4 linked regions of the Pelodiscus sinensis genome follow. The protein of the gene in region 1 purifies or fractionates together with the protein of each later gene. This does not show direct contact. Links are inferred from orthologs where the notes say so. Each region holds a gene or a part of one and is shown in the gene's direction. Other genes may lie near its edges.

The links.
Region 2: the proteins of HDAC3 (region 1) and STAT3 purify together in Homo sapiens (affinity purification with western blotting; 4 studies listed by BioGRID). This does not show direct contact. The link is inferred for Pelodiscus sinensis from reciprocal best matches to the Homo sapiens genes HDAC3 and STAT3.
Region 3: the proteins of HDAC3 (region 1) and XPO1 purify together in Homo sapiens (affinity purification with western blotting; 3 studies listed by BioGRID, with this or other methods). This does not show direct contact. The link is inferred for Pelodiscus sinensis from reciprocal best matches to the Homo sapiens genes HDAC3 and XPO1.
Region 4: the proteins of HDAC3 (region 1) and ATXN3 purify together in Homo sapiens (affinity purification with western blotting; 3 studies listed by BioGRID). This does not show direct contact. The link is inferred for Pelodiscus sinensis from reciprocal best matches to the Homo sapiens genes HDAC3 and ATXN3.

The regions. Positions count from the first base shown.
Region 1 is NC_134727.1:1,035,199-1,043,204, forward strand, and holds the start of HDAC3 (histone deacetylase 3), read left to right. Parts: upstream 1-4,994; 5' UTR 4,995-5,141; coding exon 5,142-5,196; intron 5,197-6,101; coding exon 6,102-6,184; intron 6,185-8,006. UniProt on the Homo sapiens protein: Histone deacetylase that catalyzes the deacetylation of lysine residues on the N-terminal part of the core histones (H2A, H2B, H3 and H4), and some other non-histone substrates.
Region 2 is NC_134739.1:9,061,905-9,068,772, forward strand, and holds the start of STAT3 (signal transducer and activator of transcription 3), read left to right. Parts: upstream 1-3,851; 5' UTR 3,852-4,003; intron 4,004-6,868. UniProt on the Homo sapiens protein: Signal transducer and transcription activator that mediates cellular responses to interleukins, KITLG/SCF, LEP and other growth factors. Once activated, recruits coactivators, such as NCOA1 or MED1, to the promoter region of the target gene.
Region 3 is NC_134713.1:180,629,469-180,636,597, reverse strand, and holds the start of XPO1 (exportin-1), read left to right. Parts: upstream 1-4,129; 5' UTR 4,130-4,263; intron 4,264-4,525; exon of another isoform or gene 4,526-5,300; intron 5,301-7,129. UniProt on the Homo sapiens protein: Mediates the nuclear export of cellular proteins (cargos) bearing a leucine-rich nuclear export signal (NES) and of RNAs.
Region 4 is NC_134714.1:30,853,136-30,860,874, forward strand, and holds the start of ATXN3 (ataxin-3), read left to right. Parts: upstream 1-4,723; 5' UTR 4,724-4,738; coding exon 4,739-4,779; intron 4,780-5,327; coding exon 5,328-5,406; exon of another isoform or gene 5,407-5,531; intron 5,532-7,739. UniProt on the Homo sapiens protein: Deubiquitinating enzyme involved in protein homeostasis maintenance, transcription, cytoskeleton regulation, myogenesis and degradation of misfolded chaperone substrates.

The DNA.
Region 1 (8,006 bases):
GCCTGCTGCTCCGCTCCCGCCGGGCGGCCACTCACAGCGGCGGGCGCGGGAGCAGCGAGGCAGCGTCTGCCCGGCTCGGAGCCCTGCGCCAGCCGGACCGGGGGGGGGGGGGCGTGTCCGGAGCCCTGCGCCAGCCGGACCTTGGGGGGGGGGGGGGGGCCGTGTCCGGAGCCCTGCGCCAGCCGGACGGGGGGGGGGGGGTGTCCAGAGTCCTGCGCCAGCCGGACCGGGGGGGGGGCCGCGTCCGGAGCCCTGCGCCAGCCGGACCGGGGGGGGGGGGGGGCCGTGGCCGGAGCCCTGCGCCAGCCGGACCGGGGGGGGGGCCGTGTCCGGAGCCCTGCGCCAGCCGGACCGGGGGGGGGGGGGCCGTGGCCGGAGCCCTGCGCCAGCCGGACCGGGGGGGGGGCCGCGTCCGGAGCCCTGCGCCAGCCGGACCGGGGGGGGGGGGGGGCCGTGTCCGGAGCCCTGCGCCAGCCGGACCGGGGGGGGGGGGGCCGTGTCCGGAGCCCTGCGCCAGCCGGACCGGGGGGGGGGGCCGTGTCCGGAGCCCTGCGCCAGCCGGACCGGGGGGGGGGGGCCGCGTCCGGAGCCCTGCGCCAGCCGGACCGGGGGGGAGGGGAGAGGGGAGGCTCTGCCTGGGTTTCAGCGTCCGTCGTGGCCGCCAGTCCCGGTCCTGTCCCGGAAGCCCGGTCCAGCAGCCGCCTCTCGCCCTCCTGCCATGCCGGGGCAGCGTCTGGTACCTGAGCCTCCTGCCGCCGCTCATCGGTCCTTTCTCCTCACCTGTCGCCTAGCAACCCAGCATCCCTGCCACGGGCTGCGGCCGGAGCATCCTTCTGTGCCCGGCCCGGCCTCGCGCCCCCTCTCTGGACCCCCGCAAAGCCCTGGCGCTGCGGGAGGGGAGAATCGGGGAGCCCCGCGGGACAAGCCAGCAGCGGCGGGCGGGAGAGGCACGAAGGAGGCAGGTGCGGCGCCAGCGTTTGCAGGCTGCTCACGGCGCGGGGGGGCGGGGATCAGGGAACAAGAGCGGGCGCCTCCGTTTCCAACTCCCCCCTCCGCCCCCCTCCGCCTCCCCCGCCCGTGCCCGGCGGGCGCCAGGCGCAGTAGAGGGACGAAGCGGCAGCCGAGCTACCGAGAGGGCCCCTGCTGGGAGGGAAGGGGGCCGAGTCCTCTGCGCTGGGGGGCAGTGAATAGCAGCAGGCTCCAGCAGGGGTGAGAGCCGGGCTCTGGTGGCACCAGTGTGCTTGGCTGGTGCTGGCTGAGATTTCACAAGGGTCTACTGACAAACCCAACTTCTCCTGGCTCCCTTGCAGCCGGGCCTTATGCCAGCCCGGCCCGGCCCAGCCCAGCCCAGCCCAGCCCGGCACAGCTCAGCACAGCCCTGCCGGGCCCAGCCCAGCCCAGCCCAGCCCGGCACAGCTCAGCACAGCCCAGCCCGGCACAGCTCAGCACAGCCCTGCCGGGCCCAGCCCAGCACAGCACAGCCCAGCCCGGCACAGCTCAGCACAGCCCTGCCGGGCCCAGCCCAGCACAGCTCAGCCCAGCCCAGCCCAGCCCAGCCCAGCACAGCACAGCACAAGCACAAGCACAAGCACAAGCACAAGCACGGCACGGCCCGGCACGGCCCGGCCCAGCACAGCACAGCACAGCACAGCACAGCACAAGCACGGCCCGGCACAGCACAGCACAGCACAGCACAGCACAAGCACGGCCCGGCCCGGCCCGGCCCGGCCCGGCCCAGCACAGCACAGCACAGCACAAGCACAAGCACAAGCCCGGCCCGGCCCGGCCCGGCCCGGCCCAGCACAGCACAGCACAGCACAGCACAAGCACAAGCACAAGCACGGCACGGCCCGGCACGGCCCGGCCCAGCCCAGCACAGCACAGCACAGCACAGCTCAGCCCGGCCCAGCCTCTTGCTAGTCAGGGCAAGTGCAGCCCCAGACTGGCCCAGCTGGCGGGGCAGCAGAGTGTGGTACTGCTGGTCACCATGCTCTCCTGTCCCATCCCCCCAGGCAGGGCGGGGGGAGGGGGGATCCTGAAGCAGCTCTGGACACTTCCTCTCGGAAGGTCCCGCAAGGTCGCCCTGCCCCAAAGCCCTGAGTGCAGAGGCCTCCTGGCAGCTCACCCCCTCCCCCTCCCTGGTATTTAATAGGGGATAAGAACCCATCAGGAGAGCTGGTGAGACCACCCAGGTGCATGGCAGCTGCTCAGGGGCACCCAGCTCTGTGTCCTGCCCAGGCAGTGGCCGGGTGAGCAGCAGCTGGCTAGAGCCCAGAGCAGGGCCAAGGGAAAAGCACTGGAAGCCCAGGGCCGAGCGGCCGGCCAGCAGCAGGGCGACTGGGGCGTGTTCTGTAACTAGCTTGCACCAAGCAATGTGACCTCCCGCCACAGCGCAGGGGCCTTACCACGAAGCCCCAGCCCGTCCCCTAGACGCAAGCGGGACTGTGTGACAAAGATTCTACACATGCAGGTTCAGTTCAGTCCCCAGTCAGTCCCCTGGCTCAGTCTGTAGCCTCGCTCTCCCAGCAAAGCCGTGCTGGTCCAGAGCGGCTTTCTGAAGGGTGACTCGCTGGGAGTTACTGAGAGGTGAGAGCCGGTGAAATACCTGTGCAAGTGAGTCTCAGTCTCCCATTCTCAAGTGGTAGCAGAGACATAGCGATCTGCCAGTTCCTTTGCATCGTTGCAATGAACAAGACTTATGCCCTTTGTGGTTAAAGTTCTTCATTTGCATTACCCAGGGCTTCTTTCTCCCTGGCTGGGGATTTAGTGGCAGGGCTGCATGCAGGGTCCGTGTTTGCTCTTGCACCGTAATGGGAGACGGATACGTGACAGCAAAGCAGGCAGCATCCATGCCGTTCCAGGAGGGTTAAATGCCCCAGACCTTCTCCCATACGAACAAGCACTTTGAGCTGCGTTGGCCTTGTGTCCAGCCAGGCATTTGTAAGCGTCCAGTGAGGCCTGGGACTTGGGCATGAGCTGCCACCTGGTCTGCCAGTGCCACCCCAGCCTCCTTTCCAATGCTTCGTGCTGCCAGAGGCATCAGTGCCATTTGGCCCCTTTAACGCTGTTAATACCCCAACACCACAAAGGCAAAAGTGCCGACTCCCATATGCAACGGAGCGGCCAATTGCCCCCATCCGAGCAGGCACAGACCTGGCTGTCAGCCCAGGAATTCAGGACCTCTGGGCTTGGGGACTGTGGCTCATTTGACTGAGGAATGAAACCTCTCACCCTGAAATGTTCCAGCTAGTCTAGTCCACAGCGGCGCAGCCTGCCAGGGTATATCTGCCCAGCACTCCACTCCGCACTGGCTGCCTAGGGACACTGAGGGCAGCGTTGGATTTCTGCTGCCATGGTCAAAGCCCTCCATGCCCTGGCTGCCTGAGAACCTCTGCCTCACAGCTGAGACCTCCCTCAACAGCTGCATTCTAGCCAAGCAGGGCTGTGAGTCAGGGGTGCCTCAGAGGGATGGGGCCTTCACAGGCGCTGGGCCTCTGGCTTATTGCCCAAAGTGACGAAAATGACCAGAGGCTGCGCTGCACTTTGCTTCTCACGCAGTCACTGGTCACACGCGGCAAACACCCTGCCCAGCCCACAGCAGTGCGAACGCCCTGACTGACACCCTTCCTGCCCCAGCCACACCCAGGCAGGAACTCGGCTGGGGAAGATGCCTGCCAGTGCCAGGGACTGACAGGGATGTGCAGGCCGAGGGCTGGGGGACAGCCAGGCTCTGGGGTCATCAGCAATAAGGCCTGGATGTGTGGGAGCAACAGAGCTTGTCTGGCCGTGTTCAAATGTGCAGTTGTAGCTGTGTCAGTCTCAGGGATTGGAGACACTGTACTGGATCATCTTCTATTGGCGAGAGAGGCACGCTTCCAAGCCACGCGCAACTAGGCCGCTGACGGGGCAAAGGGGCAGCTGCCCCAGGGCCAGGCCATTCAAAGGGGCCTGGAGCCCCTGCCCATGGCCACTGCTGAACTGGAACGATGTGGGCTGGGAGATGGGCCATGGGGCAGAGTGGAGCAGGTTGCTCTGACTCTTGCTGCTGCGAGTGCGGGGTTGGGACGGGGACCACTGCTGGGGTGTTGTGCCCTGCCCCCCCCAGGTAATCCCAACAGCTGCCCTAGGCCTTGCAGGTCCCATTCATAGGATGGTTCAGGTGGCTGCCACTGGGGCCCCCAACGCACAGGGTCTGGGGGCAGCCGCCCCATACCATCCTATGGATAAGATGAGTCTGCCTAGAACAGTTCCCGTTCCCTTCAGACCCACATAAGAAGAAAAGATTGTGGTGGGGAGATTTTGTCAGCAAATTGCTACATTTTGGCTAGCTCCTCTCCAGAAAGGCACGTTCCTGAAACTGACTCTTAATTCATAAGACAGCAGCTGCCTCAGTAGTCTGTCGTAGGGCTGTCCGATAGCTTTTTTGGGACAATCCTTTCTATTGCGATGAGAATTCCGTTAAAAGCATTTGCGGAAAATCATGCCAGTCTAGCTGTAGCCATCACGTCTAGGCTGGGCTGTGCCCTGGAGAAGCAATAAACCCTCTGTTCTTGCTGCTGCGGGGCTGCAGGGCCGGGAACCTCAGCTCCCCCTCACAGCACTATTAAAGACTGGCCCACTTATTTCTGTGGCTGTGCCTTGGGGAGGGCTCAGCTTCCTGCCCCCAGGCCCCTGAGCTGCCAACTTCCCACGTGCTCTGAGCCCTGCCCCCTGCCCCTCCCCTGGCCGGTCAATACAGGGCGTGCAGGGGCAGCGCCTCGCCCCTCCAGCTCCCACGAGGAGGCGGCTCGGCGCTGCCTCTGGCCAATGGGCACTGCGGGGCGGTGCTGGGGGCGGAGCCTGGCACGGACAGCCCCGCCCACTTCCTCCTTCCCCTGTTCAGTGGCGTTCAGCGGAGAGCAGGGCGCCAGGCCGGGAGCTCGCGCGAGCTGCGCGCGCAGCGACTCCCCCTGCAGCGGGCGGGGCCGGGCGCAGCCGCGCGCCAGGAGCCTGCCGGACCCCGCCCCCGGCCAACCCGCGCAGCCGCAGCGCCGGGCGAGCGAGCTCGTGCGAGCGCCGGGGGCGGGGCGGGGCGGCGCGGTGACGTGCCCGGTTGTGGGCGGGGCGCGGAGCGGGGCGGCGGGTGCTGGCGGCGCCGCGCCATGGCTAAGACCGTGGCCTACTTCTACGACCCGGACGTGGGCAACTTCCACTACGGTGCGGGGGCGGGGCCTGTGTGGGGGGCGGGGCCTGCAGGGGGCGCTGGGCCTGTGGGGGGGTCGGGGGGGCGGGGCCTGTGGGGGGGTCGGGGGGGCTGGGCCTGCGGGGGGCGCTGGGCCTGTGGGGGGGTCGGGGGGGCGGGGCCTGTTGGGGGGGTCGGGGGGGGGCGGGGCCTGCGGGGGGCGCTGGGCCTGTTGGGGGGTCGGGGGGGGCTGGGCCTGCAGGGGGCGCTGGGCCTGTGGGGGGGTCGGGGGGGCTGGGCCTGTTGGGGGGGTCGGGGGGGGGCGGGGCCTGTGGGGGGGTCGGGGGGGCTGGGCCTGCGGGGGGCGCTGGGCCTGTTGGGGGGGTCGGGGGGGGCTGGGCCTGCAGGGGGCGCTGGGCCTGTGGGGGGGTCGGGGGGGCTGGGCCTGCGGGGGGCGCTGGGCCTGTGGGGGGGTCGGGGGGGGCTGGGCCTGGTGGGGGGGTCGGGGGGGCTGGGCCTGCAGGGGGCGCTGGGCCTGTGGGGGGGTCGGGGGGCGCTGGGCCTGTTGGGGGGGTCGGGGGGGCTGGGCCTGCAAGGGGGGCTGGGCCTGTGGGGGAGTCGGGGGGTCTGGGCCTGTTGGGGGGGTCGGGGGGGCTGGGCCTGCAGGGGGCACTGGGCCTGTTGGGGGGGTCGGGGGGGCTGGGCCTGCAGGGGGCACTGGGCCTGTGGGGGGGTCGGGGGGGCTGGGCCTGCAAGGGGGGCTGGGCCTGTGGGGGAGTCGGGAGGTCTGGGCCTATTGGGGGTGTCGGGGGGGCTGGGCCTGCAAGGGGGGCTGGGCCTGTGGGGGAGTCGGGGGCTGGGCCTGTGGGCAGGGGAGTGGGGTGTCTGGCTGCAATCCAGTGTATGATCTGTGGGTGCTGATCGCCTCTATTGTTTCCAGGCGCAGGGCACCCCATGAAGCCTCATCGCCTGGCACTGACCCACAGTCTGGTGCTTCACTATGGGCTCTACAAGAAGATGATTGTAAGCATTGCTTGTCAGGTATTGGGGTTGGTGTCCTGGAAAGCCCTCCACATGGTTCAAATGTAACTATGTTAAAACGCGGCTATGAAATATGCTCGTCCCCATTTTATAATATGTCTTATTCTTGCTGACGAAAGTCATTTCGCCATATTAGGCTAGAACAGTGGTCCCCAACCTTTTGGGGCTGCCAGGTGCCCGGGGGCAGGGCTACTCAGGCGCTGGGCACCTGGCAGCAGGGTCACACACGCACCCAGGGGCGGAGCTGTGCACGTGCCTGGTGCTGGTGCCACCCATGCGCTGCACTCCCGGGGCCGGCGCCGCTCCCGTGCTGCACGCCCAGAGGCCGGCACCGCCCTTGTGCCATGCACCTGGGGGCAGGGCTGCCCAAACTCTCCGCACCTGGGGCCGGCGCTGCTCATGTGCCGCATGCCCACGCATGGGGCCGCCCAAACACCGTGTGCCCGGGGCCGGCACAGCCCTTGCACCGCACACCCGGGGGCAGGGCCACCCAAACACTGTGCACCTGGGGACGGGGTCGCTCATGTGCTGCGCGCCCGGGGCCGACGCTGCCCATACGCCGTGTGCCCAGGGGGCTGGCACCGCCCATGCACCCGGGGGTGGGGGCGGGGCTGGTCCCATTCACTCGGCGGCTGCACAGAAATTGCCCGGCAAGCGCCATGGCGCCCGTGGGCACCGCGCTGGGGACCACTGGCATGACTCTCTATTTGCTGGGGATGCTTTAAGTCAGTGGTTCTCAACTTTTCCAGAATTCTGTGTTCTTTTTAGGAGTTTGGTTTCTTGTCTGTATTTCAAGTTTCACTTCACTTAAAAATACATGCTTATAAAACGAGGTATAAAAATGCAAAAGTGTCACAGTGCACTATTACTGCAACATTTCTGACTTTCTCATTTTTGCCAAATAATTGCAAAATATATTGATTGAAATGTTTCTGCGATATTCCAGTGTGGTAGTTGAGCCTCTTTTTCACTTGTGAGCCTTATTCTTTTGGTTGACAGTGAAGTGACAGCAAGTTAGAGGTTTTTCTCCACATTGTGTCTCGGTGGCAGTCATAGCAGAAAATGAGACTGTTCAAAGATATGCCGACCTGAAAGATAACAGACCTCCCAAAGCATGATTCCCACAGTTAATGTACTCTTTTTCTGCATTGAACACCAGAACTAGGTTAGTGTAGAATCATTATATTTGCAGACTATGGCCTGAGGGAAAACTGAAGAATATAATCTTGCTGTCCAGCAGAGAGGTTACTGCTGCTAACATTTGGCAAGATGAACAAGGTTTCTTACCCAGTTGCGTTGAGCTGAGTTGTGCTGAATGTTGGAGAAATCATTTTGCTCAGCTCAGTTTCCCCTATTTAGGCCTCCGTGATATATTAATAAAACACTGAAAAACAGGTAAAGTCTTTGACTTGACATTTGGACTTCCAGAATTTAGTTTTCTTGATAAAAGCATTCACTTTATCGTAAAGATTCAGATTGTTGGTGTCATGGCCTTTCATGGACAAATTGTAATCATTCAGCTTGCTAGATATGTCTGCAAGGTAGGCAAGTTGTACTAACCACAGGATGTTGTCAAACACAGAAACAAACAGGGATGAATGATCAGAGAAAAACTTATTAAATGGGTATAATTCAAAGCATCCATCAAGTACTTTGCCTTTTGAAAGCCAGTGAACCTCAGTGTGAAGCAACAATTCCTTATGATCTGACCCCTTCTCTTGACAAAGAATGCAAAACAGCTGAGCATGGAATGGCATGGATTTGATAAAATTGACAGTTCTGACATACTCGTTTAAAACTTGAT
Region 2 (6,868 bases), on another chromosome or scaffold:
TTTCGGGCACGCTGAGTGATGGAAGGAAGGCCCGATGGTTGAAAGACTGGGCCCTTTTGCACAAAGACAAACCATCTTGTGCTGCTGGGGTAGCCAGGGAAAGGGCCCTGGTTTGAGACCGGTACAGCGTCGCGGACAGGACACAGGTGGGAGAGATTCCAAACTCGCTCAGCACACAGGCGGCTTGGCATCCACAGGCGAGACACGGACTTCGTGCAGGAGGCGGCGAAACCTGTTCACAGACGAACGCCCCCGTTGGCTGTGGCTGTTTGAACACTGCTGGCTGCCTGTGAACCATCAGGGCGCCCCAGAATTCTCAACCCCATCTGCCCAGGGAGGCCTGGGGCACCACGGTTCTGGACCTTGGTCTTCTACCATGAGATGTTCAACCCCATAGTATGGGCAGCATCTTGGAGCCTCAGCACGTGGGGGTGAAATTCTCTGTCCAGCGTTGTCACAGACACTTATCTGCCACCTGGGCCTACGCACTGACAGATGCCGCATCGCCTGTGGAAACAGAAGCACTGTACAGCCAGCTAGTAGCAAACACCCAGGCCGCTCCGCCTCATGCCGCGCTGCTCGTGCTCAGAGATTTCAATGCCGTGACTGGCTCGGTTGGAACTGAGTCTCAAATCTTGATAGGTGTCTGTGGTTTGGGTGCCCCAAAGGACACCATGTGACAAAGCGGGGCTGGCATTCTCTCTGGCCTGTTGCATGTGATTTCTACTGTCCTGTGGTAACCCTGTGTGCGTGCCTCAGTTTCCCTGGGCACTGCACCAATAGCTAAATGGGGATGGGAAGTTTGGGTGTGATTCTCAAAGAGGGAGGCTGCCCCAGTAGTCCCCAGCACATACACAATGGCTGAGGCTTTTGGTAAATGAGCCTGGGAAGGGGTGTGTGTGTGTGTGTGTGTGCGCGCGCGCGCGCGCAACCAGGTGACACCTTTTGTCCAGGAAACTTGACAAAGGAGGAGGCGGGGCTGCCTGCAGGGCTGGGACTGGTTGCTGAGTGTGTGAATGAGTCTCGGCTGGCTTAGGATATAGGGAGGGGGGGCCTAAGGCCCTGGCTCTGGGCCCCTGCTCCCCAAGATGCTTCTAGATCCTGAGCTTCTAGTCACTTCTACATTGTAACCCTGTGAACGAATAAATATTCTGTTCTACTGGCTGGCTGAGATGTGGGTGCAGGGCCTGGTGACTCCCCACCCGGCAGTGACACGCTACCATTCAGGTTTTGACATCACATGCCCCTTAGAGCTTGTCTGTTATAGGCACCAGTGTTAGGCACCTCAACAACCATCGCTGCACCTTGGTTTCAGAGGACGGGCCAGGAGGGAAGCTGACCACATCCTCATGCGAAATTACTCCACAGCAATCAAGATTGGGGTCTCCTAAAACACACGCGCTAGCTCAGTCATAAGATATGGGCTGGCTGCAGGGTTATCTCGCCTAAATTGTGCAGGAAGCCAGATTAGGACACAACGGTCCATTGGGGACTTAACATCTCTGGCTCTTCTGAAGCAGGGCGGACACTGGTGAGGGTTCAGTTTCCTCAGGCCCCTGAAGGACAATGAGAGAGCGAGAAGCCTCTGGTCTTGTACTGACCGGTTCTGGGAGTGAGAACTTCCTCCTGGCCCATCCCCCAAGCACTGCTCCAGTGCAAGAGGCAGGGATTCTAGTGCTGGAAGGTCCTGTGTGTCCCGGACCAAGCTGGTGCAGCTCGGGCAGGAAAGGAATCCCCTGTAGCAGGCTTAGAGTGGCCAAAGCCCTGAGTAGTGAAGTGATCAGCCAGACAGACTAGTCAGATGGTGCATCCCTCCCCACCGCTAGCAGCCGGAAGGGAGAAGGGGCCGTAGGTCATGCCGCAGACATGCCTCATGCAGCCCCCCAGATGTGCCACACAAACACCCATCCAAGGCACAGACACACGGAGCAGAAACAAACTGCAGGGATTATGTGGCCTATTTCTGCCTCCCTAAAATTCCCACTCCCTTCACTTCCTGTCCTAAACTGGCAGGCTGAGGTGCCATTAACATTGGATTTCTGAAAAAAGGGGGCTGTTTCCTTAGCACCGCCACCCCGCCCTTCCTCCCTCATTATCACCATCAGTATTGTTAAGGACACTTAGCAGGGCTCCCTTCCCCAGGAGGATTTCCTGCTGCTTTTTGCAGCACTCAGCAACTCCCAGGCTTGCTGTACAGAGATGAGGAAATAAGGGGAGGCTGGCAGCTCTCAGGGAGGTCAGGTCACACAAGGCTGCCCCGATTTCACGGGGGCCAAGTTGGGAGTAATGCTGATGTCCAGGAGCCAAGGAATCCGGTCCCATTGGGGAGGACTCAGGGTTTCAGCCTCCTTGTGGAAACTGAGGACTACTCATTCCCCCACTCTGTACTCCCCCACCAGGCCCCTGCCCTCCAGTCTCACCCTCCTCAGGCCCAGTTCCCGTGTGTCCCCACCACAATGTGCCCCTTCTCCCAAGATCAGCCTCCCCAGTATCCTCCCATGTGCCCTCCTAGGTTCAGCCCCCAAGTACCCCTACTCATGTGTCCCCCCAGGTTCAACCCCCCCAAGTACCCCTGCCCATGTGCCCCCCAGGCTCAGCCCCCCAAGTACCCCTCCCCATGTGCCCCCCCAGATTCAGCCCCCCAAGTACCCCTCCCCATGTGCCCCCCAGGCTCAGCCCCCCAAGTACCCCTCCCCATGTGCCCCCCCCAGGCTCAGCCCCCCAAGTACCCCTCCCCATGTGCCCCCCAGGCTCAGCCCCCCAAGTACCCCTCCCCATGTGCCCCCCCAGATTCAGCCCCCCAAGTACCCCTCCCCATGTGCCCCCCAGATTCAGCCCCCCAAGTACCCCTCCCCATGTGCCCCCCCCAGGCTCAGCCCCCCAAGTACCCCTCCCCATGTGCCCCCCAGGCTCAGCCCCCCAAGTACCCCTCCCCATGTGCCCCCCCCAGGCTCAGCCCCCCCAAGTACCTCTCCCCATGTGCCCCCCAGGCTCAGCCCCCCCAAGTACCTCTCCCCATGTGCCCCCCAGGCTCAGCCCCCCAAGTACCCCTCCCCATGTGCCCCCCCCAGGCTCAGCCCCCCAAGTATCCCTCCCCATGTGCCCCCCAGGCTCAGCCCCCCAAGTACCCCTCCCCATGTGCCCCCCCCAGGCTCAGCCCCCCAAGTACCCCTCCCCATGTGCCCCCCCCAGGCTCAGCCCCCCAAGTACCCCTCCCCATGTGCCCCCCAGGCTCAGCCCCCCAAGTACCCCTCCCCATGTGCCCCCCAGGCTCAGCCCCCCAAGTACCTCTCCCCATGTGCCCCCCCAGGTTCAACCCCCCCAAGTACCCCTCCCCATGTGCCCCCCAGGCTCAGCCCCCCAAGTACCCCTCCCCATGTGCCCCCCAGGCTCAGCCCCCCAAGTACCCCTCCCCATGTGCCCCCCAGGTTCAACCCCCCCAAGTACCCCTCCCCATGTGCCCCCCAGGCTCAGCCCCCCAAGTACCTCTCCCCCAGTGCCGCCCCCCCATACCCCGTAAACAGCCTGTCCCCAGATTACCCCCCCCCCCCCATAGCGGCCATTCGCCCTTTAAGAGGCGGGGCCAGCGGCAGCCCCGCCGTGCTGACGTCAGGCGCTGCCCGGAACTCAGCTGAGTTTCCCGCATGGACATTCCCGGCACTTGCCGCTCCCCCCGCGAGGCTTCCGGGCTCCCGTGTCCCTCGGCTCGGCCCTGCGGTGGGAGGGGAAGCTTCGCGCCGGAACAGCCAACTAGGGGCACCCTCCCCCCCCCGCCAATCCTAAATAATTAATCAAGTCAGAGACGGGAGGTGCCGATTGGCCGAGAGGTTACGCCCCCCGTGAATAATGAGCAAAGGCGGCGCGCCATTGGCCAGCGGCTCCGTGACGTATGCAATGGGGGCGGGGCCGAGGCCGAGGGGGCAGCAGGTTTCTGGACTGCCGCGGTGGGAGCAGGAGGCCGAGCGCCCCAGGCAGCCGGAGCCTGGGAGCCCCGTCCCCGCGGGTGAGCAGGGGCCCTGGGGCTGCAGGCAAAGCGGGGGGCGCCTGTGGCATGAGTGCGTGAAGGTGCCGCACCCGTGGGTGCTGGGGAGCAAGCTGCTCCCTGGGGGCGGGGGCTGGGGCTGGGAGGGAGGGGACATTTGAGCCCATGGGTGCTGGGCTGGGGGGGACAGCTGCACCCAGGGGTGCCTGCCCATGGGTGCTGCTCCAGTGGGGGCAGTGTCGTGCCACGGGGGGGGGGGCAGCAGGTCCCATGGGTGCAGGGCAGGGCAGGGCTGGGCTGTGGGGCATCTGCACCCATGGGTGCTGGACAAGGCTGCTAGGAGCCTAGAGTTGGGGCAGCGGGTCCCATGGGTGCTGCCTGCCGGGCTCTGGCATCTCTCTCACGCTGCTGGGGCCCTGAGGAGCGAGGCCGGTGGCAGCGCTAGAGCCAGATTGACAAGCCCTAGAATGAGGAAACTGAAAGTGGCAGCCGGAACCCGGCCCCTCTCGCACATCCATCTTGTCTTGCATCAGCCTGGCTGGGATACAGGCTCTCCCCAGCCCCTCGCCTGGCGTCAGTGGCCCTGGCTGGGTGCTGCCGTGGAGGCTAAGCTCCCTTGTGATGCTGGCTCCTGGTTTCCTTCGGGCAGCCTCTTGCTCCAGAGCTGATGGCGATGGAGGTCGAGGGAAACTGAGCCGGCCAGCCGGGCTCTGCTCTGTCCCCATTGCCTAGCATCTGCCTAGGGGTTGGATTGAAAAGCTTGGCCCAGCTGCTGAGCACCCTTCCTTGTGTCACGGACTCGCTCTGGTTAGGAGCTGATGCTGCTCCCTGGTACCTGCAGTGGGTGGGGGGAAAGCTGCTGCGGTGTCTTTTCTTGGAGAAACTTTATGGCTGGTGCTTGTAAAGCTCCGTGTGGCTCGCGCTGCCTGGGGCCCACCTCACAAGGCCTAAGAGCAGCTTGGGATGATGGGCATCGCCTTTCTTTCCGAGGCCAGTATAGATGCTGCGTGGGTCTCGTCGCCAGGCCAGGAAACGATGCTGTCGTTTTGCTTTTGTTATTAGTCACTGTCCAGTGTCCAGGGGCGATGGGTTTGCAGTCATTGGGGGGAGCAGGGAGCCGTTTCTCTCTTACCCAGAAACAAACTTTCTGAGGACGTGCCCCCCTCCCCCCCAAGCTCTGAGTGCCCTCCTTCAGCTGGAGGAGCCCCGGGCACCCCCCACTTTTGGCCTGAGCACTGGCCAGAGCATCCCTGCCCTGTGATTCAACCGCTGGCCAGCTGGAGCTGAGCCCCCATTGGCTTTAGGGGCAGTGAGGAAGGGGCCTCAGGACAGAGCATGAGTAGGCCCATGGCCTCGGTTAGGGAATGCTTAGCCTTCATTGGCCTTCGCTACCTGCTGCCAGAAAGGTTGAACCTCTCTGGTCCGGCAGCATGTGCGGTCTGGCATGATTTTAGTGCTTGATCCTTCCATGAGGGCAGAGGACTGGAGTCCATGACCTCTCCAGGTCCCTTCCAGTTCTAGGATTCTAGTGAACCAGATGGCCACACCCTTGGTAAGTGGATGAGTTTCCTACAGTCCTATAAAGTTTGTTTACAGCCACCAGGTCTGGCTCTTAGTGTTCTGTGCTGTTGTTGATTAGCTCTAATTGACCCTGAGCCCAGGAAGCGGTGGGAGTGTTGGTAATCCTGCTAGACAATATTGACCTCCCATGATTGGGCAAATTCTCTGATTCTGCACCAGTCAAGTCCCAAGGGTGCCAGACTAGAAAGGCTCCACTTGTAGTACAAAACCAAACACCCCTGCTCTGCCTTTTCCTTGAGGCTCTGCCCCAGCATGGCCTCTTCTCCCAGGCCTGGCACCCCACTCACTCCATCTCCCACTAGGAATGTGAGAGGTTGAGGCATGAGCTGATGCTTATCGCTTCCAGTTAATGGTTAAACTCCTGCAGGGCTGGCTGAGCCCCTGTAACTGATGAAATTGTAATTGGTTACACCCGCGATTCTCAAACTGTGGGTCCTGACCCCCCGGGGGGTCGCAAGCAACTTGGGGGGGGGGGGGGGGGTCGCAGTAGCACAAAGTTTGAGAACCCCTGCGTTACATGGCTAGTGTTTAACAGTTTTTACCTGTCCCTTGCTCATTTTCACTGGGCAGAGGGTTGGAGTTAGGGATAGCTATGTAGGCGACTAGCCGATAAGCATAGCCTTACATGCAGGCTCTTAAAAGGCTGAAGTGCAGCAAGAGGAACCAGTTGTGAGCTGGGAATCCGCTCTCCTGGCTCTCACCTGGTCCCTTCCCCGCATTGCCCTTCTGCTCCTGGGGCTGGGAGCTAAGCTAGCTGCAGTTCTGCAGTTTCCCCCGCTTATCGGCTAGTTGGTGGAAATTCCATTGACTAGTTGATTCAGTGTAATTTCACATCCCTGGTTAGGAATGTGAAAGCTTAACCAGTAAGCATTACCCATACTGGGTGATACTGACCGGTTCCAGTTTATTGGTGGGGGCTGGAGCAATTCCTCATCTGCTGTGGGCAGGGGTCTGCTCCAGCCCCGCAGGGGGCCTGCCCGGATGATGCTTAATTGGTTAAATGGTGAACTGACTAACTGGGGTTTTGCATCCCTGGTTGGAGGGTGGGAGGAAATGAAGGCTCTGGCTTGGGTTGCAGGCTCCAGGTTGGGGCCAGAAATGAGGGGTTGGTTCATGGTGTGGGAGGAGGCTGGGGAGCCAGTGGACATAGAGAGCCACTTTGAGTGGCGTGGAGCTGCTCCGTGCCTGAGGGTCCTGGCAGGGTGGGCCGTGGGCTGGATTAAAAGGCTTGGCGGGCTGGGTCCGGCCCACGGGCTGTATCTTGCCCACCCCTGCCCTAGGAGCTGAGGGACATGTGTCTGTTTC
Region 3 (7,129 bases), on another chromosome or scaffold:
TCAAGAGGTGTGAAAAAGCTACTTCTGAGCAAGTAAATTACACCAACCTAATGGACAGCACTATTGCTCTCCCGCTGACAGTTACTCTGGATTGGGGAGGAGGAGTAATTATGCTAACAGGGAGCTCCCTTCCACTGGCATAGACTAGCATTTGAACTAGCAATGCTATAGCAGTTGTTACCTCAATTCAGCTGCACTGTTGTAGTGATTCTAGTGTAGACTAGCCCTCAGATAGTGAGACACCCACCTCTGCTCTCCATTGTAGTGGCAACTTTTCCACCTATATTATTCAGAACAGGTAGCTATAACCCCGGGACATTTTTCTCACTGAGCTCCAATCTTGTGAGTAAACAGTCCCAGTGTCCCTTCAATCTGCCATAAAAACATTCACCTGCATCTGTCATTTTGCACTTACACTGAGCAGGTGGATCTTTTCTTGGAGCTGTTGATGTGTCCAGCACAAGGTTTCATAAGCCAGGGGACCAAGGGATAGTTGTGGATCACCCCAGTCACTGCTGGCATTTCTATGCAGAGGCTGGGAAAGAACATCCCTGCTTCCAGATTTCTGAACAGATGTGTTCCTAAAGTTGCAAAAATCATACACTTTTTCTGGCCAGCCAATAATGATATCACTGAAGTGTCTCCAGCAACCTACCAGTGCTTGCATTTCCCTGGAAAAATAACCTGTTCCGTAACAAGGGCTGATGCCAAAATGATTGTATGCATATCCCTAATTATCCCACTGCAGCTTGGGAACCCTGTTGCTACAATCTATCCAGTAGGTCTTGCACATTACCAGAAGTCACAGTCCTGCGTAGCAGGAGACAATTAATGGACCTTTATACCTGGAAAAGTCACAAAGGTGGTTTTTTTTTTTTTTTAAATAGACTTTCAGTATGTTTTCTAGAAAGAACGAAAACAGAGCTACGTTGGGATATAAAGGTAATTACTGGGTAAGCATGAGCTTTACTAGAATGCTTACTGGGTGCAGTGTGGAGCTGGCTACAGTCTGGTTGGGCCCACCGCATCACACCAGGAGCGGGGGAGCCTCATGAGGATTAATTGGTTAAACAGCATTTAACCAGTTAACTTTTTAAACAGTAAGTAATAGCCCTAGTTGGCAGTCAAAATTAAGTTTCCTTACAGATACACTTTAGCCAGTAGTACATAACTCCAGAGAATTCTCTATGCAGTGATGTTAAGTGTCACACTAATCCCTTCAAAGAACTTTTACTCTGTTACCTTCAATGATACAATCATCAGGGTGCAGTATTTACAAAGGGAATCAGTTACTTCATGTAAAAACAGGTTTTGTTGATGTTCTTAGGCTGCTTTTTATAATTTTTCTTCCTTGGAATGTCATCTTGTGTTTGTATTTAAAATTATCCCACCTTGAAAGCTTATGATACCATCTACATGTTTTGTTAGTCTTTAAAGTGCTACCAAACTATTAGTTGTTTTTTAAGTTTTTCATAATGTGATAATTAAGTTACTCATGATACCATATATCAGTTATAGTCTTAGGTGTCAATGTATGTTTCATCTGCCACCTTTAATAGAACTAATGTTTAAGTATTTTCCATGTGAAGTGAGGAATCTTGATTAAGTAGTTCTAAAGAATTTAGCAAGAGTATAACATACATTTTGCTTCATAGTAAACAAAGAACAAGAGCAGAATAGAAAGTACTGAACTTCAATAAGCATTGGTTGAGTTCTTCTCATTTTATTGACTAATTGGTTAAACATATTGCCCCCCTTCTTTCATCCACCAAAAGCAGGAGCTGCTCTAGCAGTCCCTTTCACCACCACAGCAGACTGCCTGCGGTGGACCATGGTACCCCACAGGGAGGGGCCGCTTTGGCATCTTGGTCAAAAGAGCCCCTGCCTGCAGGGCAACCTAGCTTGCCATGGAACTGCTCTGGCTGGGATGCTGGAGCAGCCCGACTGCAGCAGGCCAGAGCACCTCACAGGCAGTGACTGCTCCAGCATCCTAATCGGAACAGCTCCTGTCTGCAAAGGTACCAAGGCTCACCAAGGGCAGAGGCTGGTCCAGCAAGGATGCCAGAGTCTCTACCTGCGGCGGGCTCTCTGTGGGGTTGGAGCTGCTCCAGCCCCCACCAGCTTACCTTAACTGCGGTAAATCTCATCCATTAAGGTTGAGGCTTATGGGTTAACCAGTTAAACCTTCACCTCCCTAATGCATGTCACCAGAAGTATTATGTGCCACAGCTGTTTGTACATTAAAAGACTAATTGACCTACATTTTCAGAGGCAATTAGTGATTTGGGGATATCAGTTTAATCATCTTAAAGGAACTTGATTTTATGAGGGCAAACAGTGAAATGTCTTTTACAGAGTTTCAAGTTAGCCATCCCATCATCAATAGTTACTTGTGAAAATATATACAACTTGTATTTAGACACTTGTGTAGTTTTTACTCTTATTTGGATATATACTTTCTAAGCAGCATCTTCAACTCCTCTGAATCAAATCCACATCTATAGCTCTACCTTTCATAAAGTGCACCAAAATGACAAAGTATGTTACAACTGAAAGGCATCACTTTTATGTTGCTAAGGTTGCTTGCACAAGAAGTTATTTGGTGCTCAAATCGTGGTGATGGTGATGGTGATTCAAATACCACTTGAAAAATAAAACTGTTTTAGAATACATGTGGTAAAAATTTATACTTTTATAGGAAGATTAAATACTTTTTAAAGCACATTAAAAGATTCAAACTTCCTTTCTCCCATTAAGAATTAATAATATTTCATAACACAAACTCCTACCTACAGTATTTCCTCAGCAGCATTTGAATAGCCTTTACTACCTGGCATATTGATTCTGGGAACCGTATATCTTATGTAAATACTTACTTAAAATGAATTGTAAACAAACATTCACATATATGCTACTGCAAATCAGGAATGTGGGGTTCAGTGTTCCTAATTAGATAAGGTGACCATATTCCCTCCCCCCCCCCCCAAGGGAAAATGGCCACTGCATTAAGGACATGAAAGTTTAACTGGCCAGGCCTAGGCAGGGAGGGCCACTTCAGCCCAGCAAGGCTGGAGCAGTGCCCCACTCCCCTTTAATCAGTTAACACGTTAAACAAAGTTTAACAGGTTAGCCAATGAAATGGGATTTTACATCCCTACATGTCACAGGTGTGAGCCAAGGTTCCTTCCCATAGCTGCCCCAAGGCCTCTTTCCCTAATGTGCAGGATTGGCCTCAGTCCCTATGCCTTGCGCGTGTGGAACCGATTTCAGGCCACCCCCCACACCCCACCTGCATGTGGGGCAAGCCCAAGTCCCCTCCTCTATCCCCTGTGCATTCAGCCAGCCCAAGACTCTCAGCCACTTGGGGCCGGATTCAAACCCCACTTGCTCCTCCACCCCATTCTCCCTCCCACCTAACACTGTCCTGCTAGGGGTCGCAGCCCGAATTTTTGGCAAACCTGTGCCTTTGTCCAGTTTGCGCTTGTCCACTGACGCTCAGGAAAGGAGGAAACGGACAAATCTACAGAAAAAGTCGGGGCAGGGCATTAAAAAAAAAAAAGATTGCCCTGCCCCAGCGGCTCATATGGTCACTCTATAATTAGCCTGCGTTTCCCCCTCAATGCCTCCTCCCTCCCGACTCTTTGTCAGCGAACTGCTTCTTGAAGAGCGTCGCACTCCCCGCGTGGCCAGTTTCAGCCACCAGAGAGCAGGAGACGGCTGTCCCAACGCTCCCATTCAGAATCGAGCGCTAAGAGGCCATGGATTGCCTGCGCTGTGGGCCGCGGGCGAGGCTCTGTAGCCGCTGCCCTGCGCTGCACGGGGCGGCACCGCCCAGCCTCAAAGGGCTGCTGGGTCAACGGACTCTAAACGGCTGAGACACGCTACGGTGATGGGGCCGTAGACGTACGCGAGGAGAAGGGCGGGGAGGGGCTCCCTCTGAGACACACAGTGGGGTGCCCGGCCCTTCCGCCGCTGCCCTTGGAGCCAGCCACAGACGCGCCCACTAGCCCTGCTCGCTCCCAGCGAACGCGAAGACAGAAGCTCTTGCTCCTAATAGGCACCATCCGGCGACAGGGCCCTACGCGCGCCTAGGAATCTCGTGCCGGTCGCAGGCCAAGAAGACCCCCCCCTTCTCCCTCCCTCGCCCCGCGCTTTCTCGGGGCCTCACTACCCGCTCTACGCAACCGCGCGCCCTTCTCAACGCACCGTCGTAAAAGCTTCTCTCGAACGCCTACGTCATTCCAAGCGCCCAGCCAATCATCGGTGGGTAAAAACTGCGCCCGCGGGTCGGGAGTTGTGGGCGGGCATCGTTTTTGAGCGACAGCTAAGCGCGGCCAGTCAACGAGGGCTGCCGCGCCGCCACCTCCCCCCTCTGCGGGCAAATCGCTGCTAGAGAAGAGGCAGGGCCTCCTACCCACCCCCCCCTCTCGGCAGCGCACAGACGGACGGTCCTCTTGTCCAATGAGAGGCGAGGCCGCCTGCGCAGCGGCTGTGTTCGGAGCCAATGGGAGCAGCAGCTGGGCGGAGGCCTGAGGTTTCCAAACGCTTCGCGGCGCCATGGGCTGAAAACTAAACCGAGATGGAATCTCCCAGTCTGAACCGGTTTGAGCCGGTTCCGAGTCTGTGGCACTAGGAGGGGGAGAAACGCTGCGCTCACTCCCTGCCGCCGCTGCTGCCTCCGCCGCTGTGTGTGTGACCTGCTCACAGGGGAGCCCGCAGGGGGAGCCGCCGACACACCCGCCGGGGCAAAGTTTAGTGCGAGCGGGGGGGGAATGGGGGTGTACTGAGACCCGGCCAGATCAAGGGGAGAAGCAGGGGCCCGGGCAACCAGAGACTCAGCCAGAGGAGCCCGGGGCCTGGGGAGTGACAGACCCGGGGCCCACCAAAGCAGCGGGGCTGGGAAGCTCGGGACTCAAGGAGCCCCAGGAAAGCAGATAGCCGGGCCTGGGGAACCAGAGCCAAGCCGCCGGGAAGGGAGGGGCTCCATCCCCTGCGCTGGGCGGCCTAGGCCCGGGAGCAGGTAGTTGGGGGCCGAGTCCTTGTAGGGGGAGCCAGGGGCAGCAGGGAGCGAGTGAGCCTGGCCAGGGGTTAGCAGCAGCCCGCGCTGAGCGAGTCATACAAGCAGCCCAGTGCACGCTTGGCTTGGAGGCGGTGGGGGGGAGAAGGGTGACACCAATAAACGCTCAGTCGGGGAGAGGGCGCGCGCGTGTGATTTCTCCTCAATTTTTTTTTGGTGTGGTTGGAAACTTCACTCCCCCCGCCCGCATTTTTTAAAGGCCGAGGCTGTAATAACTATTTAGGTAAGTAACTCTTATGGGGTGAAAATCTTGGGGTGCGGGGTTGGATGTATTTGGGGGGGGGAAGTGGGAGGGTTAAAAGGGATTCTCAGCAGGAGGGTGGGTGTGTGGAGGGCAGAAAGTCGCGGGTAGGCAAGGCACAATGGGTGTAAGACTTAGGGCGGGAGACGCGTGGTCTTCGGGCTACAAACATCAGACGTGTCGGCTTTGCAATTGACTAGAGAGCAAATTCTACCACTGATGCTATGGGTGTGGGGAAAGAAGGAGCGTGGTGTGGGGAGGTTGCTGTGAAGGCTTGTGGGGGTGGGGTAGATGGTGGTCATTTTGTGCTTTTGATTATATGTGAAGTGTGGGGCTGGAGCCAGTGTTGGGAACTCGAGAAATTAGGGGCATAATCTGTAAATTATTAGGAGTGGAAGTTTCCAGAAATATTTTTGTGTGTCTGTGCAGCAGTATTGAAACGTCCGCCTGGATCACGTGGGGTGGCCCTGTATACAACGCAGGGACCGAGAGGAGGGAGGGGCTGCAGTGTCCCTACTGCTCTCCGCAAAGAAACCTAACAAACCTCCTTCTGTTCCTAAACCCGGATCTCTTTCTCCCTCCCGTCCGACAGATACTTTAGTAATGACTGTCAGAAAAACTGATTGGCGCGTAGTTGTGTGTTTTTAATAGTATAACGTTCCGTGTACTGCAGTATTCTGACTGGTTTGCAAGGGAAGTCAGTTAAGGCCTTTACACAGAGTAGGTGTGCATCTGTATGTTCACATGCAGTATTTGTGTACATCAGATATCTTGTTGATAACAATTCGAATGTATTTGCATTTATTTGGATATATATTCTTTAATGTGACAAGTCTGCTGCTTAGGAAAGAAATGTAGCTGAAGTTCTGCTACCTATTATTGCTATACACACACATACGGGGAAAGGAAACAAGCTCTTTCATTAGTGTGTGGAACTGCGGCATTAACTTTAATATAAATGCCCACTAAATTTTATATGTCTAAATTGATGTATAATGCATGTGCTGTGCAGGTCTAATCGTGCTTAGGCTGTGGGAATAGGAAAAAAAGGAAACTTTAAATTGCCTGATATAAATAATCCTGATAGCTTTAAAGAGTGTGGTGGGATGCCGATTTTTACTTCCATTGTAGTTAGAAGTGGAGCTGTTCACTAGCTGAGTTGGGCGGGGTTAACTGTATGTTTCGGGTGGCTACTTCTATACTTAAATGAATCGTGCTGCTGCTGCCCCCGCACAGCCTGAAGTAGTTGTTGAGTTGTATTTGACCTAGAGTTTAATTTGAATGTTTTTAAGCTTTTTTTTTTTACTTTGTTGTGTGGATGTTCTAATTCACTGAGCACAGCTCATTTTAAAATTGCTGTTCTGATGTGTTTATGGAATGGTAATCGGTATGCTCGTTATAAGCATTTTTGCACTTCATGCACAAGGCCACTGTAACCTCAGGTAGCTCTGTAAACAAGTCTCCATTCTTCTGGGTTTTGGCAAGTGTAAGATCCTTCCCTTATTTATTAATTGTGATACTATTTAGTTTTCATTTTTCAGTTTTATACACTAGCAGTTGGAAGCAGTTTTAGGTGCAAGCTGAGGTATGGATCGGGGTGAGTGTCTGTCTAGCAGATCACATACAATACTATAGGCTTGATCTGGGCACATTATTAGGAATAGGCAATCAAGTTAATCGCAGTTGGCATTGACCACAAAGCCGCCATTTTTATATTTCAATTCACCAATAGGTAAGTCATTTTGGAGATAATGCTGGGAGTGGCAAAGCACTCTATTAGAAGTGTTTCCTTTCTGCTTTCATGCGGCTAA
Region 4 (7,739 bases), on another chromosome or scaffold:
TCATATCAAATAGTGGAAGAAAATTGGCGTGACCATATATACCAAAGGATACAATCAAAAAAATGAACACATATGAAAAGGACAAATCAAATTTCAGAACAGAAGGGGGTAAGGGGAGGAGGTAAATGTCTGTGAGCTAATGATACTAGAGGTGATAATTGGGGAAGCTATTTTTGTTATGGGTAAGATAATTAGCATCCTTGTTAAGACCTAGGTGTAACGTGTCAAATTTAATCATGAAGGATTCTCTGAATTTGACACTTAGGTCTTAACAAGGATGCTAATTATCTTACCGGTTACAAAGATGGCTTCCCCAATTATCACCTCTAATATCATTAGCTCACAGACACTTACCTCCCCCCCCCATCCTCCTTCTGTTCTGAAATTTGATTTGTCCTTTTCATATGTGTTCATTTTTTTGATTGTATCCTTTGGTATATATGGTCATGCCAATTTTCTTCCACTATTTGATCTGAGGAAGTGGATCTGGCCCACGAAAGCTCATCACCTAATAAACCATCTTGTTAGTCTTTAAAGTGCTATATAGTACTGTTTTTGTTTCAGCTAGACCAGACTAACACAGCTACATTTCTATTACTATTCTTAAAAATACCCTTTCCTATCTCTTTGTTTTCTGTTTGCTCTGTTCTATCTTCATGCGCCTATCTTTTGCTAGAGCCCATTCCCATTTTCCTCCTTTCAATACTAATATTTTATGCACCAGTGTGTTTCTAGTTGGCTGTTGCCTATGGTTAACACTTCTCATTGTCAAATATCTGTCTGGTGCTATCAGTGGTACCCACTCACAGCGACTGCAATAAGGCCTACTGAGGGAGGCTTCTTCCACCTAATTTCATTAAAATGCCCTAAATCCAGCTGACAATTTTTCCCTTCAGTTGAATGGCCAATTATGGGAAATGGGATAATATACTCTGAAAGTGATTTAAATTAATTTCTGAAGTTTCAGAGGAGTAGCGGCGTTAGTCTGTAACAGGAAAAACTTCAAAAACAACAAATAGTTTAGCAGCACTTTATAGACTAACAAAACGTATTGTAGATGGTATCATGCGCTTTGTGGGCACAGCCCACTTCTTCAGATTATCAGAGTTAATTTCTGAGTTGGTGTAGAATAATACTGTGGCTAGCTAAGAAGTAACAATAGTTACCACCATACAGAACAGGGTCGATTTTGAGGGGGCCTGGCACCTGTACACATATAACAGACCCTGCCGCCTCCTTAAAATACCACAAAGGTGCGGGACCATCTCCATCCACTGCTGGTCAACCTGGGCTTGAGACACCGGGGGAAGGACGCACAATTCTAGCCAGTTACAGTGCACGCAGCTGGGACCGCATGGCTCATCGACTGGCTGTAAGCGCCGGTAAATCTCTGACTGGAATAGTTACGAGCCCGGATCTGAGGCTGTAACTGCAGCGACCTGCAGTGCGCGAGCTCTAAAACCACTTCCGCCCCCCCCCCCCTTCCCGACTCCAGTGCAGGCACGGATGTTGTGATCACATGACTGTCAGGGAGGTGGACAGGCCTCGGTTTATTGGTCGGGGTAAGATCACGTGGAAGGCAGAGGGTGAAGGGGTGCGAGACAGCTGCGATGATTGGCGGTACTGAGATTGGGGTGTAGTCACGTGAAGTGGAGGTTGCTGGCTTGGGACAAATAAACATGGAGGCCATCTTCCACGAGAGGGTGAGAGGGCTGTGGGGGAGGGGGTACTTTTGGTTGAGCGGGGGGCGGGAGCGGTGAGGGCGGAGCTGACAGCCTAGGTTGGACGGGGGGATAGGAGGGTATTTCAGAGAATTGGGTAGCAGCTGATGATTGGGCTGGGCTGGAGGAGAAGAGGAAGGGTGGGGTGGGGTGAGAGGTCCTACAGTCCTTCGTAGGGAGGGGAGTTAGTCAGTGGCAGTGCCTGGGGCGAAGGAATGAGGGGGGGGGGTTGCAGCCCATGGCTGGATGCGGAGGCTGATGAATTTCTTCTATCCCGTGGAAGACTTGGAGCAGGGTAGTACTTGAAGCTGTCTTTTTAACGCTTCCCAAAGCGACTACCTGACTCCATTGCCTTATCCACATTGATCTTGATGTTATATTGCCTTCTTCTATAACTTAGTGCTGATGAGGTTCCTCTCGAGTGGAAGGGGAAAGCCAGGTAAAATGACAGTTCAACCAGCTACACCTTAGAAGAAATCTAGGTACCTTTCAAAGGTGGTTACAAGCAGTGTCCATACTACTCCTTTTTATATAGTTTGTTTGCCATGGTGAGGTTTTATTTCTAGAACCTTTTAAAAAGTACAGAAAAAATAGTATTGTGCAGAATGAAGTTTTTACTCTCTTGAGACTGAAGAATGGCTTAAAATGAGAAATGCTTATAAAGATGAGCAGTGGGAGATGTGGGTTTTATTTGTGACTTCTGGCACCATCTTGCTGTGCCTCTGTTCATAGCAACCTCTCTCTGCCTCAGTTTCTGCATGTACAGAGTGGGGATTATGAAACCTGTTTCAAAGTAGGTGTTGTGAAGACTTTTATTTAATGTTAGTACTGTGTTTCTGAAGATGTAAAGCACCATATGAGTGCTAAATATTTTGTTTCCAATGGCAAATACTTCTGCTATTCATGATTGCCTTCAGAGTCCTAAACAGTAACTTCCATACCATTGCATTCCCATGTCTTGCTTATGTCTTGTGTACTTTAATCATTACCAATAACAAGTTTTTCATACTATAATTCTTAATAAACTTCCTTTTGTAAATGTAGGTTGCTCTAGTTACTGAGAGATACAGTAACTAAATCAAACCAAACTAGTTCCTATCTGAGTTAAATGCCCCTTCCAAAGAAGGCAACCTAAAAAACCACAACTTCTTTTGTTTTTAAAATAAGTTCCTATGGAAAGATGGCTTCACAGACTTGGAATGAAAAAAGTAATTCTGCTGAAACTAGATTAATAGGTAGAGTAGTATTAATAAGATCAAAGTTGCACAGGAATTGCTATTGTTTAAGTAGTGTAAGGTGCAATTATTTTACATCAGTGTGCAGTACAAGAAACGTGTATACATTTATGAAAACATTTGCTATTTGACAATGTAGTAATCCAGATTACTGAGGTGGAATTAAAACATCTATATATAAAAACAAAGTTTCCAGCGGGATGACAGAGTGATGTCGTCTGTCACTTTGACTCCCCCAGCCTCTCTCACCCCCGGGCTCTGTGGAGTCATCTGTCACATGGAAAAGTGGAGCTATAGGGAGCTGGGGGTGGGTGCTGTCTAGCCTGTGGCCACTCAAGCTTCTTTGGAGCAGGCAGTGGTGGAGCTGAGCTGGGGAGTAGGCAGCTATGAAGCAGGGTGGCCTAACTCCATGTGTGGCAGCCACTTCACAGCCTCCCTTTGCCCACTTGGTCCTGGGTGCCTTGGGTCACAGCCAGGAGCCACTTGAGAAGAATAGAGGCAGAGATGTCTGTGTCCCTGATGTGTGCCCTTGCCTGTGGGTTGCTGGTGGAGGAAGTGGGGGTGGATTGGCTCTCTGCATCCTCCTGCCAACAGGATACCTAGCTCAGTCCTACAGTGCATGGGGCATGCCAGGTTCCTTTGTCACTGACTGCATGGAAATGCTCCCAAGGGGCGCAGAGGTGAGGGGTTCCCCCACCCACTGAACACCTCCCCCCACACTGGGGCCTTCACCCACACCCCACCCCTGCCAGCTTCATGAGGCATAAGTTGGGGGCTTAGCTCTCTCTCCCCACCATGCTGCCCCCATTGGGCCTTTGTCCCCTCCCCCGCCCCAGACTCCATGCCACATGGGCTGGTGGTTTACCCCCTCCCTCACATGCTGCCGCCCCACCCAAAGGACTCCATATGGCTCAAGTTGGAAGGCTAATTCCCTTGCCCCCTGAGGGGTCACACAGGGACAGCCCAGCAGTGTTTGGAGCAACTGCCAAGCCAATGGTGCTGTTTTCTTGCTGGTTAGGTTTCCCATTTGTGGGAGAGGCAGAGCGTGTGGAGGGAGGGAGGAAGGGGGATAGGGTGATGTGGTAAAGGAGGATGGGGGTGAAGGGGGATATAGGAATGGAGGCAGGGGGATGGGCAGTGTAGGGGTATGGAAGGGGAGGGGTTAGAGAAGGATGGGAGGGTAGGGATAGGCAGGGGGGGAGAGGGGCTAGGGACAATGGTTGTAAGAATGGAGCCAAGGGGGTGAGGATAGGGATGGATGAAGGTGATGGGGAGGTTGAGAGGTTTGGGAGGATGGTGGGTATATGAATGGAGGCAGGGGTATGGGGGTAATAATGGAAGGGGGGGTGGACTGTGGGCCATGGAGCTCCAGGCCCCAGTTCCCTCCCCTCCCCTTCCCATCCCATAACAGCACATGCGCTTCCCCAGAAGCCAAATCCAGTGTGGAACCTGTGGCCGGGGGTGGAGATCCAAAAGGCTAGGGCTGACATGGCCCCATCCCTCACTGGCAGGAGAGCCAGGTCTGCTTACCCCCAGAGACAGGGGGGTTGGTGAGCATAGCAAGCAGGGGGCACTGTCCCATAGTCTAGTTAAATATCTGAAGCAATAAGCAACATATTCTATTCTGTTGTGACATCTGTTTTCATAGATTTTAAAGACAGAAGGGACCATTGTGATCATCTAGTGAGCCTGACCTCCCATGTAGGTGGAACTTCCTCCAAAATAATTCCTGGAATTTATCTATTAGAAAAACATCCAATCTTGATTTAAAAATTGACAGTAATGGAGAATCTACCACCACCCATGGTGAATTGTTCCAGTGGGTAATTACTTTCTGCATTAAAATGTATGCTTTATTTTCAGTCTGCACTTGTCAAGCTTCCACTTCCAGTCATTGGGTCATGTCTACCTTTGTCTACTAGACAGATGAGCCCATTATTAGTTGTTTGTTCCTTATGTAGGTACTTATAGACTGTGAGCATGGCCCCCCTTAACCATTTCTTTGTTAAGATAAAAAGATCACACTCCTTGAGTGTGTTGCTGTAAGGCAGGGCTTTGGAGGACCCCGGGGCTGCAATGATTCTCAAAGCATATGCCAAGGGCTGCAACTTCAGTGTGGTTGCATGGACATGCAGATAGCTTCTTTCACGTTGAGGGGCATGAATACAAAAATTAAGGCAAGACTACTCAACACACAGACCCCATTTAAGTCAGTTCTGCTGATATTAATAAAATGCAATATTTACCTAGTTTCCATCTATATGACAGCACTTTTAATGAGTAATGACAATCCAGGAATTTGATTACTAAAACACATATCAGCAGAAGACCATTATATTGACTACTTTTTTGTTTTGGCTCCCACCTGCAGGCCGCCTGTTGAGCCCTGCATAAATCCAAACCTCATCACGGACCACAAACAAACGGGCTGTGGGCCAAGTAGCCCTGCTGTAAGGCATGTTTTCTAATCCTTTGCTTATTCTCGTGGCTCTTTGGATAACCCACTTCTTGAATTGTGAACATCAGAACTGGAAACAATATCATAGCTGCAGTTGTGCCAGTACCAAAACCAGAGGCAAGAAAAACTTCTCTACTCTTACTTGAGAGTCCTTTGTTTATGGCCCCCAGGATTGTGTTAGCTCTTTTGGCCACAGCATTACATTGGAAGCTCATGTCTCGCTGACTGTCTACCACGGCATCCAAACCTTTTTTCAAAGTCACTGCTGTGCAGGATAGTGTACACCATCCTGAAAGTATGGCATACATTCTTTGTTCCCAGATGTATGTATTTACATATGGCAATATGGAAATGCATATTGATTGCTTGTGGCCAGTTTACCAAGGGAACTCAATTGCTCTGAGTCAGTGATCTGTCCCGTTCATTATTTACCATTAGGAGATTTACCTGGTATCGTTGGATCCTTAACTCAATTAATTTTTGCATTTCTTCTTTTAAATCAGGGGTTCCCAAACTTTTTGACACGGGGACCAGTAAATCTATTCATGAGCTTTTGGAGGACTGGTAACGTTCATTTGCATATTCAATAAGCAAAAGATGAATATTCAGATAAGTTGTTTCTGGTCCTCCCAAAGCCCCCAGTGCCAGCGTTAGCAAAGCTTTTGATACAGTCACTCACAATATTCTTGCCAGCAAGTTAAGGAAATATGGATTGGATAAATGGACTGTAAGATGGATAGAAAGCTAGCTAGACCAGGGTTTCCCAAACTTTTTACTTTAGTTGGAATCTGTTTTTTTTCAGTATTGTCTTTTGAAGTCCAAAAATATAAACGCATATTAAAAAAAAAGAATGAAAAATGAATAAATTTTCAGTGTTTCACCCGGCTACATTCTCCACCCAGCCTGGGCCAGGGCTTGGGGGACCCAGCGCCACATGAGCACTTCAGGAGGCGGGAGCACAGGCAGATTGGGGGTAGGGTATCTGGCTAGGAAGGAGGGTGGAAGGAAGGGTAGGGTTGCCAGGTGTCTGGTTTTGTACTGGACAGTCCGGTATTTGAAGGTTTTGTCTGGGAAAGAAATTACCAGACATATAAAATGCCTGGTATTTTCTAATTAGGTACATTTTATTATAATTAGGTGTATTATTCCTTAGCTGCCTGGCTGGTAGATGTGCTTACGCAGTCTGAGTGTGTCTACCTGCCAGGCAGTTCGCAACTACTCCAGGGAGGGTATGTGGGGGAGAGGGGGCAAAATGGAATCTCCGGCCAGACTCACTCATCTGCCAGGGTCTGCAGGGTCTGCATGTGCGCAGGTCAGTCCCGCTTCCCCCCTTTCTCTTCCCGATCTCCCCAGTCCAGCCCTCCTGCCCCTGTCCAGCCCTGCTTCCAGCAGCCGGTTCACCCACCACCTACCAATCTCCCCCGGTCAGCCCTGCTCCCCTGATGACCCCCCTTCTCCCCCACACCAGCCCCACTACCCCCGTCCAGCCCTGCTTCTGGCAGTTGATTCTCCCGTCCTCCTCCTCCTGATCTCCCCCGGCCAGCTCCCCCTATCCCCCGTGCAGCCCTGGTTCCGCCACCTGCCCTCTCTGATCTCCGCCACCGGATAGCCCCGCTGCCCCCAACCCTGCTTCCGCCGCCCACCCACATGCCCGGATCTCCACGGGACAGCCCCACTCCCTCAGTCCTGCTTTCGCTGCCCGCATTTCCGCGGGACAGACCTGCTGCTTCCAGCCCTGCTTTGGCCGCCCACCCACCTGCCTGTTCAGATCTCCACCAGGACAGCCCCGCTGCCGCCAGCCCTGCTTTTGCCACCTGCCTGCCCGCCTGGATCTCTGTGGGACAGCCCCGCCGCTCCCAGCCCTGCTTTGGCCACCCGCTTGCCTGCCCACCTGCCCGGATCTCCACCGGGACAGCCCCGCTGCCCCCAGCACTGCTTCCCAGCGGCTGGTTCCTCCCTCCTTCCTCCCAGCCCACCACGCTCTGCTCCTCTCCCGGCAGCCATGCTGAGGCCTGGTATTTTTTTCCCGCAGCTCGGTACTGGGCCGCGACCCATAGTTTGGGAAACGCTGTTTTAAATTATTACCTGGGGGTACAGTATGCAGGCTTCCCTGGGGAAAGAACTGCTCTCGTGCAGCAGCTTAGGGCCAGGTGAGAAGTCCTTCTCTATGGTTGTTACCCTCCACCTACTGGAGCTGCATCAGCTCCAGGGGGGTGGATGTCCCCTGGCTGCAGCTGGTCCAGGCACATCTGCACTCCATAGCCAGATTGAGGAATGGAGCAAACTGCACTTTCCACTTGTTACCTGGGAAAAACCAGAAATGTT